Diceros bicornis minor: one gene and its partner. The protein of the gene in region 2 interacts with the protein of the main gene of each other region in a biochemical or structural test. Links are inferred from orthologs where the notes say so. Each region holds a gene or a part of one and is shown on either strand. Other genes may lie near its edges.

What was found.
Region 1: of the proteins of CASP3 (region 2) and HCLS1, one has a biochemical effect on the other in vitro, tested with the Homo sapiens proteins (2 studies listed by BioGRID). The link is inferred for Diceros bicornis minor from reciprocal best matches to the Homo sapiens genes CASP3 and HCLS1.

The regions. Positions count from the first base shown.
Region 1 is NC_080754.1:22,653,224-22,661,188, forward strand, and holds the start of HCLS1 (hematopoietic lineage cell-specific protein), read right to left. Parts: upstream 3,007-7,965; 5' UTR 2,870-3,006; intron 463-2,869; coding exon 379-462; intron 1-378. Other genes in the region: GOLGB1 (golgin subfamily B member 1), read right to left, coding at 6,171-6,305, 6,572-6,677. UniProt on the Homo sapiens protein: Substrate of the antigen receptor-coupled tyrosine kinase. Plays a role in antigen receptor signaling for both clonal expansion and deletion in lymphoid cells. May also be involved in the regulation of gene expression.
Region 2 is NC_080768.1:16,324,822-16,332,082, forward strand, and holds the start of CASP3 (caspase-3), read right to left. Parts: upstream 3,018-7,261; 5' UTR 2,926-3,017; intron 1-2,925. UniProt on the Homo sapiens protein: Thiol protease that acts as a major effector caspase involved in the execution phase of apoptosis. Following cleavage and activation by initiator caspases (CASP8, CASP9 and/or CASP10), mediates execution of apoptosis by catalyzing cleavage of many proteins.

The sequences.
Region 1 (7,965 bases), on a different chromosome or scaffold from region 2:
ACTCTACATCCCTCACATTTTCCGCTTCAGGTCTCCTACAACTTCTGAATCTTCCCAAAATACACATGTCCAGCCCAACTCCTGGTTCCCAGGCCAAAGGAGACCCAGACTAACCTGCTCCTCACCTTCAGCATAGTCTGCCATTACCCGTCAATCACAATGTCAAACTCCCCTGCACCTGTCTCCTTCCACCTCCAATACCAGCTTTCATGCATGCCCCACTTATCACAGCCAACTGTCCTACCAGTAAGTCCCACCATGATGCTATCTCAGTCCCAGACTGTCCTTTTCTAAGCCCCCTCAGAGGTCAGAGAGTGGCCCATATGCCTCTCCCTTCCCTGCCCTTCTTTGTCCAAGCAAAACTATTTCCAAACTCACCACAAAGTCAGGGTCTGTGTCCCAGTCATCACCCTGGGTCTCCACGGAAACAGAAACATCATGCCCTACTACAGACTTCCACATCTGAGGGTGACAGAAGATGGGAATAATTAAGGGGAAAAATTGGGAGGAAGGAAAACAAGAATTCTGAAGTCAATGATATAGCAGCTCAACGTTTCTTGCCATTTTTTCTTGGAAGAATATAGAAGCTGAAGCAAAGCAGATGGAAGTTTTAGGAAACCACTTCTGCTCAGTTAGAGGAGAGAGGATGGGGATTTATTCAAGAAAAACTAACATGGCCTGGCCACACCTGAGTCTGGAAAGAAGTAATCCTGGGTGTAGGTAACACTAAATAACCTCGGTGTCAAAACTGTTGGATCATTCGCTTGTGTCCAGTGGCTAGTCAGGCAGTGGCTTGAAGTGGTAATCAAGGAGGGGAGCTAGAACATCCCTAGAATCATAGTGCCATTTCACTCTACATATGACTCCTTTTATAGTTGTCGAAATCTAGATTGGTCCAGCTCCTGATAAAACGAATATTTACACTCCTCTCTGCAAGCTGCATGAGGCCAGTAGGGGCAGTCAGCTGAAATTCCTACACTGCACAATGCACAGGGAAGCATTGTTTGCTGAGAATAAGTCATTTATTCTTCAATTTTTAAGAAGAGTTCAATTATATTTCTAAAGAAGATAACTGGTTCAAAAAATAGCATGTAACAAATCTCTTATTTTGAACATTAAAAGCTATTATATCTTTATTAACTAAATAAATGATAAAGAAATATTTAGAGAACCTTAGTTTGAGGGAGTACCAAATTATTACTCTACTGGGGCATCCCCAGTGTTTCTGTTGGCCCTGCCAATCATGTATAAGGAGGAGCCACGCAGTGGCTCTGCGTCTGTGGTATCCTGGATCTTGGTGTGAAGAGGAAACAACAGCCAACGCTCACCCGCTCTGGTGGCCACTGAGCCTTCTTGACCCTGGTACCACTTGCTAGCTGGCAACTCCCCTGCTCGTCGTTCCCTGCTTAGATTCCTCACCTCACTGGTGTCTTTCCCCACGATCTTCATTGTCTCTTTAAGGAGTCCCTCTTACACCCACTCCTAGGACTCTCCAGTTTATCCACCCAGGCCCTCAGACTCTTGGATTTTTCTTTTCACTTGAAAATTCCATCGTTCTCTATGCTCTTCGAAAAACCCCTTGGAAACTAGCCCAAGGGAAATTTGGGGGTAGATTGGTTAAAGAGATGCAAAGAGCACACTGGAGAAGTGTTGACTGTGTCAGCTGCACTGTGGGATGAATCACTGCCGAGAGCAGCTCTGCCTTCCCCAGCGGGCAACAATTACAAATGAGGCGTCAGGTAGACAAAACCTATGTTCTTGGCTCCTGGGCTACTCTGCAACCAAAGGACTTCACATGGAAAGCTGGAAAGGAGAAGTTTCTGAAATATTCGTAAGCAATACGGAAGCAATGTGGACTGACGGTCCTGTCGTCTTTCCTGCTGTTCCTCTGAGGCCTCAGCCTGACTTTCTCATAAACCTCCCATCGTCATGTATTTTCAAAACAAAAGGAAGAGTTTCTGACACAGAGGCAATTTAGTATCTATGAGGTACTGGCCAGAAATAGGGAGGCTGAGAGGTGCAATCTAGAGGTGGTGATGGGCAAGTAACCTGGTGAGGCATGGTGCCCAGGATTGCAGGCTCAATCAAGGGTCTCATCACAAGGCTGCCTTGGCATCAGTAAAGTATATGAGCTTGGAGTCAGAAGATCATTCCAGCTCTGTTACTAAGCCCCTGTGGGAGCATGGATAAGGGAATCAACAGTATGTACTTATTTGCCAGGTACTGGGCGAGGCAATTTACAAATATTAAATAATTTGGTAAATCATTGAACATCTCTGATGCTCAGCTTTCCCTAATGGAAAGTAAGTGAAGAGGTTAACCTAGCTGATCCATCAAGTTCCCTCTGTTTCTGACATTCTGGGATTCTGCGATCCTATAATCACAGAAACTAGCCCTAGTTGAAGCATCACGCCTTCATTTGGCCTGCATCAGCGCTTGGTTCTCAGAACTGGCGTCCATTAGCACCTACTTCCTGATCTGTTACAGTGTCTCCTATGTGGGTTTTGTCTCTCTGCTAGACCATATGCTCTCCTAGGGCAGAGACTTTGTCTTCATCTCCTGCAGTCCTCTTCTCAACTCAATGCCTAGGAGCCACAGGCCTTAGAGAGGGTTGTAGATTGTCAGCAGAAACCAGGGGTCCTGGATGGCTGCTGAATCATGTTCCCTGGGCTCCAGCCCCCCACTTCTGTTTCCATCCCCAGATGTTCATTATCCATAACGACTTACACCCAGGCCTTCTGGCCATAAAAGATTAAAAGCCTGCTAGCGGTGACTTCATCTCTCAGCAAGGACTAAGAGCTAGGTAGGATCCTCTTACTTCAACATTTCTCCTGTGCTCCCCAACTTTCCCATTGTTCCCAGTACCCACCTCCAATAGTGTGAGTGTTTGCTCCAAACTCCCAGCTCCTCACGTCGACACTCGGCTCCCTCTCTGGCTGCTGCTACTTCAGAGCAAGAAACTGAGCTGCTGCTTCGGTTCCGTATTCAGGTTTCTGTCATTTCCTGCCACCCTGTCCTCATAGCTACTTCCTGAAGTTTTGAGTCAGTTCCTTCTGCTTAGGCACTTAAATAAGAAAGGATTAAATGCTTCTGTGCCTCCTCTTTTGCAAGGCTTTGAGGGTCACGAGGAAGTCATAGAAAATGCTGCTCTTACTCTGAGCTTATAATCTGATCAGGGAAGCAAAACATTCAACCAGGAAACACATAAAAGAATGCTGTAGGACAACATTTGTGTCCTAAATAGGTGAGCAGTTGCATCTATTATAGTAAAAGAATTTAGAGAATTTGGTATGGGCTGAAGTAATCAAAAAAGGCTTAATGGGAAAAATGATTTTTATGTGGATTTTGAAGGGTAAGATTTAAAAAGAAACTCATTTCTACGTTACCCACAGCACTTAAAATTGAGGTTTGCATATAGTAGACGTTCAAATAAACGTTGAGCAATTGAACGATGGAAGGGAATAACTCACAAGGGGAAAGGCAAGACGTGGAGGGAGAAAGGTGCAGAGATAGTTCAGGAGACAGCGAGGAGTCTGAGCTAACTGGTAGAAAGATTTTGTTCCAGACAGAAGGAAGAAGTCTGAAAGAACGAGGTAGTACCAGGGGATGGAAGGTCTTTGTGATATTCTGTATTTCTGTTCATCAAGATTTGCTGCTCCTCCCTTCCCTCTTGAAGTCAGACATGCTCAGTGACTTTGTTTTGGCCAGTGAAATAAATGAAGTGAAACACATCACTTTCTGGTGGAGACATTAAGATCAACGCGAGCTTTGCCATGCTCTTTCGCCCATTGCCCACCAAGGCAACCTGCAATTCTCCAGAGTGGCTCCTCTGGCAGCCTGAGTAAGAGGGTCCCCAACATGATGTCCCCAGTGACTACAACACAAGTAATCCTTTTAGTTACTGAAAATTTGAGGGTGTTGGTTACTGTATCTGACCTGGCCTCTCCTAATCTAGATTGACGTGGAGTTCTAACTTGATTTGCTCAGTTGTGAGCTCCCCCATGGATTCAAGCAGAGACTGGATGAAATTGGTCCAAGATGCTGAGGGGATTTCTGCATTAGTAAGACTTCAGTCACGTCCAAATCTAAGGATTCTACGCCTGGGGGCAGTTGTATTTATTGATCTCTCCTACTTCATGACCTCTCTATTATGGCAGCACCAAAATTATTTTAAGGAAGAGTAAATTTGTAGAAGGTGAAAAAATCTTTTATATCATTTCAAATCCTAATTCAGTGTCAAAAATAGGAATGATCAGATCAGATATTGTGACACACCATCCAGGTATAATTTCTTTAGAGAAACCATAGAATTTAATCAGAGATGACAAGAAACCCCATCTGTTCTTAGCAAATGTCCCAAGTTCATTCCTGATGAGACACAGTGAGATGGAGCACATAGAAATAGCATGGGCTTTGAAGCCAGATAGACTTGGCCCAATTCACTTACTTACCTTGAGAAAGTGAGTTAGCTTTTCTCAAGCAGTGACCTAACATAAAAACATAATGCCCATCCTGCTATTCCCTATTAGATTCCCTTCCCCCACGCCACTCAGATGGATTCCTAGGGGCCTAATATTTTCAGTTAGAGTTCTCCCAGGCCCAGACACAAACCTGCATGAATCTCATGCCCTAAGGCCCAGCTTCTTTGGTTCAATATTAGGATGGAATTTCCTCATTCCACTTCATCACCCTGGGGTCTAGTGGCTAAAGCTAGGACACATGCAGCCATTACTGATATTGGCCAGTGAAAAGGAGGCCTGAATAGGCAGAGCTTTCTACCCGTATATACATTCCTGGCTACCCTATCCCTATCTACCTTCCTCCCATCAGCGCGCACACACATATATGTAGGCACCCGTGTATACATACATTCACATACACGCACACACCACAATTTTTCATTCTGAAAATAATTTTATTATTTTACAGTTGTTCGGGACAGTTCCTGGGTTGCTGTGACCAAGATTTGGTCACCACAGAAAAAAGGATTAGAGCAGATCAGTCAGTCCACCAGTTTTCTCTCTTCTTTGGGTGCTGAGAGCAGGCAGGGAACACATCATGTGCATAATGAGAAAATAACCAGTAGGTAAGTGTTGAGGGGGAGAAGAGGCAAGGAATAAGCAGAAATGGAATTCGATTCTGGCTGTCATTCTCAGGCCTAGATTTAAATATTTTGTCTTTATATTCTCCCTCCATTTTCTTCAGCTCTCTGTTACCACAGAGGGCAGATGACTTTGGGACTGAGAAACTGGAATAACTGTCACCAACAGTAAAGTAGCTTCATACTTCAAGAGACTAGGAGTGGTCGTTAGACCAGTCAGATCTTCCTGACTGGGAGTCAATGCCTCACCTAGGACTGGCTCCTAGTGTACTGTCTTAGGGCCCACAAGTGAGGCATATCCAGGTAACACAGGAATGAGAAGAATCTGAATCCCGCTGTGCTGTCCATAGCCAGTTCTTCCTACCTTTCAGTGAAATGAAAGGCATAAGCCACTTACTACCTTTGTTTACATGTGATCAAGGGCATAAGCAATGGGCTCCTATCCTTACAGTTCAGGATGAAATCTCACTCCAATTATGTCTGAATAGCCAGGGAAGGAGATGCTATCCTCCCCCAGGATCCAAGAGCTGAAACCTCTGGGGAGTTCTTCAGCTCCCATCCTATCTTGCAGGAGACCTAATCAGATATCCTAGGAGACAGTGTTCCCCAGAACTTTGTTTGTGGCAGGTCCACCTTCCCCCTGAAGCAGGAGAAAATATAAGGAAAACAAAGAAAAGACGTATCAATCAAAATGATACTGGACTTCAGATTATTAGGTTTATTGGAACCATCCTCCTGGCTGAAAGACATTCCTCAGCATCTTTCCCAGGACCACAAAAGATCAGGGCCCTGTAAAATCTGAACAAATATTGGGCTCAACAACCAAGTATGGGGGCTCCTCAGATGATGCAGAGTGTTCAGGCTCGTGCAGTAGAAGAGAGCAGACTCGCTGGGGCCTACAGCTCTAACCTGTGCTCACATCCACCTCTTTTTGCAGGCACTTTCTGTGGAGAGTTGGAGAGAGGACCTGTAAGTGGGAAGACTGTTCCAATGGAATTGATGGTTTTGATGTTAGAGGTGAGGGAATTCCATGTTCTGAGGGGAGTGATCCGAAACGTGAGAACTAAGTTTATAGACGGCCTGTGAAACACAGAATGAGTAGGACATGAACCATCAGAAAGTAGATGGCTGCTAGCAGCGGCACTCGGGTCCGGGAATGACAGAGAGAACGCAGGACGCGCTTCCATCCAGCACCACTCCGGGTCTGAAAGAAAAATGTGAAAATCAGAGAGTTTTACCCTATGGGGACATGTCCTCACTTCTCCAGCCACTATAGAAAAGGAGTATCCCAAGAGAAAGGCCCCTCATGGTCAACCACTTGGCAAATTCCACTAGGTTCCTGCAACCTTCCACACCCTTCCAGTCTAGTGCCTGGACTTCCACATTCCTTTTCCTTGACCCCCTGCCCTCAACACAGCCAGCCCTGTCTGATAGTACAGTCCCCTCTCTTTATCCTTCTTCCCTTCTTACCCTTCGACAACTGTTGCCTGTAAGATCTATTAACAGTGCCTGCTCTTGAGTGCCACAGGAGCCAATGATAGGAGACCGGGCAGAGTCCCATTCACCGAGCTCCAACCTGTGTAAAGACAAAAAGAGGCATGGCATTGGTTCACAGCACGAGAGGCTGATCGGGTGAAGTCTTCCCAGTCATCTTGCTATGTGATGTAGCACAAGGGACTTGCAGCACAGGCTGCTCCCACAGTCCCTGCCCCCATGCAAGGAGTACACAGGCAGATGGTAAAAGGTGATGATAACTACCATGAGTCGACTGCCTACTATGTATCAGATGCTGGATTGGGTGCTTTACATACATTTAATCCTCAGGTTTGAGGTTGGTGTTATTATCTTCAAAGTAAGGCTTAAAGAGGTAAAATTACTCGTCCATGGTGGCACAGTCAGTTAAGAGGCAGAGCCAGAATTCAAAACCCAGGTTTGTTTCTAAACTTCACGCCCTTTTTTTCCCACTACACCACACCTGACTCAGAGAAACTCATTAAAATTTTTTTCTTTTATTAAAGGCTAATAGGCAAAAGCATCCAAGAAAGATTTTTGTGGGGTTCTTAGAATTAAACTGAACTGGCAGCCTCTACTGCTTTCTCCTTCATTTTTTGCTGATTTGCTTATTTATTTAATACTGGAACTTCTCCATTTAATGAAGAAGCTGCCTTTATCCACTCAATGGTTTCTCACAAAAACAAGAACCATATCAAAGGAGATGTAGGAAACATATAGCATATTTGATCAAGCATTTGCGTACAGGGATGCACTTTTTAATTGTGGTGGGGAGGAGGGAACTCTACTCCTGATGTTTCCTCCACAGGAAGGGATATCCATTAGCCTAATACTCCTGGCCTCTCTCACTTTTCTCCAGGAGAGAAGGAACGCTTTAATCTGATTTGTGAGTCTGGAAAGAGAAACTGATCATGCACAGCCTAGCTCCATCCTAATTGCTTTCCTCTTGAGAGCCAGGCGGACTACACAGTACACCTTCTGTGTCTGTTCCTCCTTATGATAAACTCTTCAGGGCAGCCTTAATCTGGAACAGCATGGTCTGGTACTATGTAGGTCAGTCTGCCAACTTCTGTAGGCTAGGCTGAGGAAAGATGAGATGTTTGTAAGGACTGGTGAGCCACACAGTATTGGCTGCTTTTAAATTGCAAGTCCCGGGGACTGGCCCCGTGGCTTAGTGGTTAAGTGCGCACGCTCCGCGACTGGCGGCCTGGGTTTGGATCCCGGGTGTGCACGGATGCACCGCTTGTCTGGCCATGCTGAGGTGGCGTCCCACATACAACAACTAGAAGGATGTGCAACTATGACGTACAGCTATCTACTGGGGCTCTGGGGAGAAAAAGGGAAAAAAAGGA
Region 2 (7,261 bases):
AGTGTATGAAGTAATGGAAGACAGAAAGACCCTGTCCCTGTGTGGGACTCACAACCACGCTCACCGGCATTCAAAAGTAGCTCAGCAAGGCAGATGCCAGACAGTGTGCACTACACATCAGATAACTTTATCTTACTCTGCCCTAATTCAGAAGCCCTATAAGCAATCTGAAGGCAAGAACAAATAAGCAGAGAAATAACAATATTACACAGAGATTTAGAAAGCACTGTCACAGACACTATCTCATTTTATCCTCACAACCCTGTGAAGTATGTATATCACTTATGCCTATTTACGGATGAGCTGGTAAGTGTCGTCCTTGGGACCTGGCCTTAGGTCATCTGACAAGAGTACCTATTCCCCTCCATTACATTTGTATTTGTTAAATATCTACAAAACAGTTATCTAACAGTCTAAGAATTCCCACATCTTTTTTTAGGCCCAAACACCAGTGCTTCCCATCTTTGAGGCAGAGCTTGAAGAAGTATCTAATACTAGGCACCAGAATCAATTTAATACCATTCATAAAAATAAAGACTGCTTTCTAGCATTACAAGGGGGATGCGGCAGTAGATTGTGTTATACCAGGTTTGAAAGCAAAACAGTAAAGAAGCATTGCAATCGCCCATATCAGTAAGACGTGAGTCTCTTAAAACCGCAGGAGGCAAGGCTTTTTCAGGATAGCAAAAAGAAATCCGATTTAATTAGGCACAATGTTTCATTTCTTTTTTACCGTCAACAGGTTTTACTGCCACACTGCAAAAAACTGTCCGTTCATTAAAGCACATTCTAACTTTCAAAAGCCTTCTTTTGCAAAAGAGCAAAGCAAAACCAAAGCTCAAATATCAGGTTGCGATAGGGATGATTTAAGCTTTATATTTCATTCTTAGAGATTATGTAACTACAACACATTCAAAGTGGCCGAGCACGTTTTGATACAGGTTGGTCTAAACCACCTTGCTAAGCAGCTCCTATTACTATCTTGTATACTCACATCGTTACAACCACTCCATATTTCACCTCTACCATTCCTTCCTAATCCAATCTTTTAATTATATTTTGCTAAGTAATCCTAAAACACGTTTATTTTTTCTAGATAGGGCATAATTATTAAAAAGCATAAGACTGTAGTATAGGCGTTCACTTGTGCAGGCCCTGGACATGGGGAAGGGCAGTAAAGAACAAGACAAACACAGTTCCTCACGGAATTTGCTTACAAGCTAGTAGGAAAGATAGGAAACAAGCAACTGCAAAGGATATGACGTTTTCCTCTATGAAAATCCCGATGCGAAAGGAACACATAATAGGAAGACTTAACCTTGAAGTGTTGAATGAGAACAGAAACTAAGTAGGAGTTCCTCAAGCAGATGTGATGCAACCAGAGTGGGAATGCAGGAATGTTCCAGGCAGAGAACAGGTATTAAGATCAGCCTGGCTGTGTAGAAAGTGAAACAGGCTATAATGAAATATAAGGCAAGTGAGGAGACCAAGGAGCCAACCTGTGCTTGGCTATGTTACCATGCTAAGGGACTGGGTTTTTCCTATGGGCAAAGAAACAGTTTTCTAGATTTTTATTTTGTAAAGATCCCTCAGCCTGTGCTGTAAAGAATGGAGTGGAGAGGGGCAGAGGGTCTGGAAGTATGGAGGCCAGTGAGGAGGCTGCTGTAGCCAGGTAAGAGCCTAGGGTGACTTAAATCAGAGATGGAGCGCAGTGGACAGATCTAGCGGACATTTAGGAGGTCGAGGAGGCTTTGGTGGCTAACTGGGGAAGGACCGGGGACAGGTAGCTGAGAAGGTTGGTTCTTGGTTTTTTGGTTTGGGTTCCACTTACTGAGAATGGGAGAGAGGCAGCTGCTTGGGAAATAAGGCTTGAGAGAGAACAAGGGTGACAAGTGTGAGAAAGGCACTCGCATTCAACATGGCCTGAGTGAATTTCAAAGCAGCTCCTAGGTGGATTTGGCCATGGACACACAATCACATGGCCGAGCTGGACGGACTCACGGAGACCTTCAGGTCTCAAAAGGAATTAGAGTTTAACGCCTGAAATTGCTTCTCCCGAAAACTGAGTTACATAGTCAACCCGGGAAAATCTAGGCCCGAGACAGAGAAGGCCGCAGAGAGCACACCCTCGTCCAACAACGGGAGGTTCAGCCCCGAGGGCCAGCGCCACTGGGACGGCACCGGGCCCGCCTCCTGCCCTCGGGGCATCGTTCCTCCGCGCCGACCATCCGCTACTCCCGTCCCGGCCGCCCTCACTTCTCTGGCATCCCGCTGCCTGCCGCTCCCGGGCCCGACCTCCCACTACCCGGCCTCGGCGCCCCCCTCCCCCGCGCCCCGCTCCCGGGCCCGGGCCCGACCTCCCACTACCCGGCCTCGGCGCCCCCCTCCCCCGCGCCCCGCTCCCGGGCCCGGGCCCGACCTCCCACTACCCGGCCTCGGCGCCCCGGCCTGGCCTCTCGGTTTTCGGTGCGCCTCCCGTCCCGCGGGCTGGGCATCTCCAGTCGGGTCTCCCCTCCGCGGCCTCCACATCCCGGGCCCGGGCTCCCGCCCCCCACGCGCCCCCCGGCCTCGAGGCCCCCAGCCTGGCCTCTCGATCTTCGGTCCGGTGTCCCGTCCCCCAGGCTCGGCATCTCCAGCCTGGTCTCCGCTGTCGGCCTCCACACCCCCAGCCCGGCCCCCCGACCCGCGGCCGGGCCTCCACACCCCGGGCCAGGTTTCTCGCTCCGCGGGCTCCAGCGCTCCTCCCCGCGCCCGTCGTCGTGGCCAAACAAAGGACCCGCCGCCCGGAGCGTGCCCGTCTCCTCCGTCTCCCCGGAGCAGCTGCAGGCCCCAAGGGACCCCGGGGCGCGCGCCGGGCTGGAGGCGATGCAGGCAGCGGGCAGGGCCGACGGCGCGGCGTCGGGAAGACTCGAGGGCGGCACTCACCGCACAGCCTCCACGCAGCGCTCAACCGTCCACTCCGCTCTGCGCCCCGCCAGCTCGGCTTCTGCGGCCCGCCGCCCCCAGCCCGCCGAGCTGAGCTCCGAGCACGGCCCGCCCCCCGCTGGCCCCACCCCCGGGCCCCGCGCTCCCCTCCGCGCCGACACGTCCCTCCCGCCCCGGCCCGCCCCGCCCCCGCCGCCGCGAACGCCCCTCCCTCAGCGGCCCCGGGCGCTCTGGCCCGCCTTCCCGTCCCGGCCCGCTTCGACCTCGCGCTCCGGCCCCGCCCTGCGTGCCCGAGAACGCCGCTCCCTCAGAGTCCCGGCGCGCTCCCCGCTGCCCCGCCCGCCTGCCGGAGAACACCGCCCCCTGCCGCGTGGAAGCCGCGCCCTCATAGGCCCGGCGCGCTCTGGCTCCGCCCCCGCCCCGAGAACACCGCCCCCTGCCGCGTGGAAGCCGCGCCCTCATAGGCCCGGCGCGCTCTGGCTCCGCCCCCGCGCCAGGCTTGAAGTCGCGATCGCGCCACGGCGCGGGGTTCTGGACGTGAACGGAGGGAGACCTCAAAGCCGCGGCAGCCCCGAGGGGCGGAGAGAAGGGAGTCAAGGTTGGACGTCTGGGAGGAAGGGGAGCAGGCCGACCCGCACTGGTAATCTCTTCCCCTCGGGTGACCTGAGGCCTTTCCTTAGGTCACCCCCCCCCAATTCGTCCTTAAAGCCTTAACTGCCTACTGGTTCCCGCCTATTTTGGGTCACGAACGCCTTTCAGACCCTGATGCAAACTCTCAGTCGTTTTCGCAGAAGACTACACCAACACGATTGAGCACGAAATTCTGCATCAGATTTCTAGAGCTTCATGACATTCTGATAAGTCAGGGACCCCATGTTAAGAACACTTCTGCCTATTCGGATATAAATCAGGGGCCGTATTTTGTACATGAACATACAGCGTTATATACGTGGCTACCATTTGTTGAGCGCTTATTCTGTGATGTTACGTGTGCGCAATACACTTTCTTATTTTATCCTTTCAACAACCCCGGGAGGTAGGAATTCCAGTTCCCATCAGGGCTTAAAAAGGTTAAGTAGTTTGTTCTCGCTAAAAGGAGAGTTACAGAAGTTAAACTGGGATCCCAGGAGTAAAACTTAGCCCTTTCTTTATCCCTCCCAAGTTGAGAGAAGACAAAAGTGTGGCAGTCCTTTTTCTGCTGCAATAAAACTGAGGAGGACCCACTCCCACCCCTAAGTGGTTCAGCATGCAGCTATTCGTAAGGGAGGCACCAGTATAGTTGAACAAGTCCTCTTACGCCCCTGTGATGCCCAAGCCTCTTCCTGTGCTAAACTTTCTTACCAAAATGATGCTTCAGTTAAGGCAGCAGCAGTTTTCTGCTTTCGTGTAATTATACTAGTTTACTTAGTCTAGAGAAACTTTAATTATAGTAAAACAGTTGGCTGGAGGAAATGTCTTCTGACCGAGTCCAGTAATTTGTTTTTACAGAGGTGTCTCAGAGGTGGCGGAACTTGATCCGGGCCTTGAAAGGGAAGAATTTGGAAAAGGGAAGTGAGGCATTCCAGGTGAGAGAAACATGCAAAGGGACTTTTGGAGTGGGCCAGATGCAGGAAATGGTTATTATCATTCATTTGGTGATTGCCATTTGGTGATTTTCATTCATTTGGTTCAGAAGGCTGAAAGATAAGAAATAAAATGGGTAAGTGGTTTAGGGCCAGATTCTGGAGAGAGTTTGGACCTCTTGATGTTAACTATAGTGTGAATTGAGTGATGCTCTGAATCATTAATGGGTGTCCCTATGAAAAGTTACGAAAATGGTTTTAAAAGTCATTAGTCTGGCAAAGTTAGGCTGTTTGGGTGGGAGAGCCTGTGGAGATGGTAGAAAGGGGTAACTGGAAAAGAACAATATATCACTGTATGTTTTCTTATCCCTTACAGGAGAATTTTGGGGGATTTAAATGAGTTACTTCTGTTCAAGCATAGAGCGGCAAAGTGACTGAAGTGGAAGAAAAAGAAAATTCAGTCAATTAGTATATTTCTTACAGTGTTACTTCATCTGAGAAGTAAACATATAATATTACTATTAATGAATTTTAATTACATACTTTATTATGAATACTTTAGCAGTATTCCAAGAGGCCACAAAAGGGATTATATTAAGAAAACATTGCCAGATACCAGAACATTACTAAATACTAGAACTAGAACATACCTGCAGAAAACACAAAATACTGATGAATCTATTCTGAGGACAGAGGAAGAGGTTGGAGTTAGGGAATAGGAATTGACTTGTGATTAGGCAAACAACGGGAAGAATGTAGGAGAAGTGGACTAGGGAGAATCATGGCAAGGCAGGCTTCAGATCTCCCTAGAAGCCAGTAATCATGAAGCACGCGCCCCCTATCCAGCTGCTCCTGGGAACCAGGGCATCAAGTGTCCTAGCTGGGCAAGTCTAGGCATAAACCCAGGGAAACCAGGGCCATTACATAGGATGGCCACCTGAGTCATCTCTCCACCTCCATCCCCTCTTCCCCTTTTCTCACTATGCTACAGTTACTCCCAAAGGACTAAGCCAGCCTTTTTTCTAGCCTGACCACGTTTAGTTGTAAAATTGGTATCCAACATGGTTAAATCAACATTCTGGTGCAACGTTAAGAAACAGTGCTCTTAAGTCTACTATTTTAAAATACAACAAATATTTTTCTTTGGAACTTGGAAACTGTTACCAAAAATAGTTATGGTCCCTGTGTGAAAAGGGGTTTTGATGTACAATTCTATAAAAGAAAGACAGCACTCTTTCCCCACCAGGAATTAAAAGCATTTCTAAAATGGTGACGTTCTCTCAGAGGATAGGAATAAGGAATATGATAGTCCAAAACCGGAATGCCAGATGCCTTCCTGTTCTCTGTTTCCTTTGCTTTTGTCATTCACCCTCCTGCTCAAATAGTCCAAGCCCCAGTTGTCTTCTAACCCTCAACCCAGCTGTTAAAATTTTCAAACTGTGCAAAGAACATGAGGGTGTGGGGGAAGAGGGAGAAGCCCCCTCTGCCCTTTCCCTTAAGGTTCTTATGGCTGGCCAAATAATTAACAAGATAGGTTAGCAGGAGAAAATAATACCAAGTTTAATAACATGTATACGTGGGAGAAAGCAGGGACACTGCATTTCTCAACACAATAGCAGAAATTCTCGTCTTAAATACCATCTTCAGCTAAAGACAAAGGAGGATGCTGGGGGTGGGGAGTCAGTTAGTGGAGATTACCACTAAAGCACTGTAAACAAGAGTAAGGTTATTATGCAGATTTAAGGCCTCACCTTCCACATTGATGAGTTTCTAGAAATGAAGTCATCTCACCTCTTCCCAATACAGAAAGGGAGATACCTTTACAAATGGAGATTTCCCTTATAAATGTAAATGTTTGTCTGGCAACTCCTCTCAGGGCCATCCAGAGAATGTGCCTAGAGAGACAGAACTTCTGATAAGATGGGCTTGTTGGTGCCTTTCCTATTGTAACATCTATTTTACATTATATTACAGATCTTCTATGTCAAATTCTTTAGGCAGTTAGTGGGGGAGGTCAAATGTCCATCAGAGAAAACAATCAAGGTAAAGAGATATGTTTCAGGGTAGCCAAATCTTGATCTCCCACAAGGGCATAACATATATTGTACTTCTCTTTTTTGTTTCTGTTGACATTCATGGCTTTCTCAGTCCAGTAAGTGTCAAACTGATTTTCCACTCTGACTCCTTGATTTTCATGTATGACACACTTCCATTGTCATACCAACATTTTTACAAAATTAAAATTTTCCTGGTATCAGTGTCGATAAGTATGAACGTCCACATGGTTATTCCTAGTCAGTTATTGGGTAGATACTAGAGCTATAAGTCACATCTGATTGTAGTCTGTTTATTTTCTTCATTAAGTACTCAGTGGACTTTATTGAAAGTTAATTTCGTAGGAGAAAGTCAGTTTCTCCGTTAGGTTGCTTAAATGTAGGGGATTTCTATCTGTATGTGAAGCAGATTAAAGTAAACAATACTCAGAATCTATCTAGCAATAAGGAGCCGTATAACTTTGTACTGAAAAATTAAAGCAGTTTTATTTAAAATTGCCCCATCTTTTCAATCCAATGAAATTGTAGTCCTTTCCTAGATATATCTGTTATGAAATTTATGTTGATACCTTTAGAATTATGTTTCTATTTCTTGGTTTATAATTTATAATTTTCATGTGGATTAGGTGTAACTCTGAGAGAATAATCTTTCTTAGGTCTGCTATAGTTGAAGTCAAATTTGAAATCTAACAATGTCATGACATTCCTACCCTGTCTTAA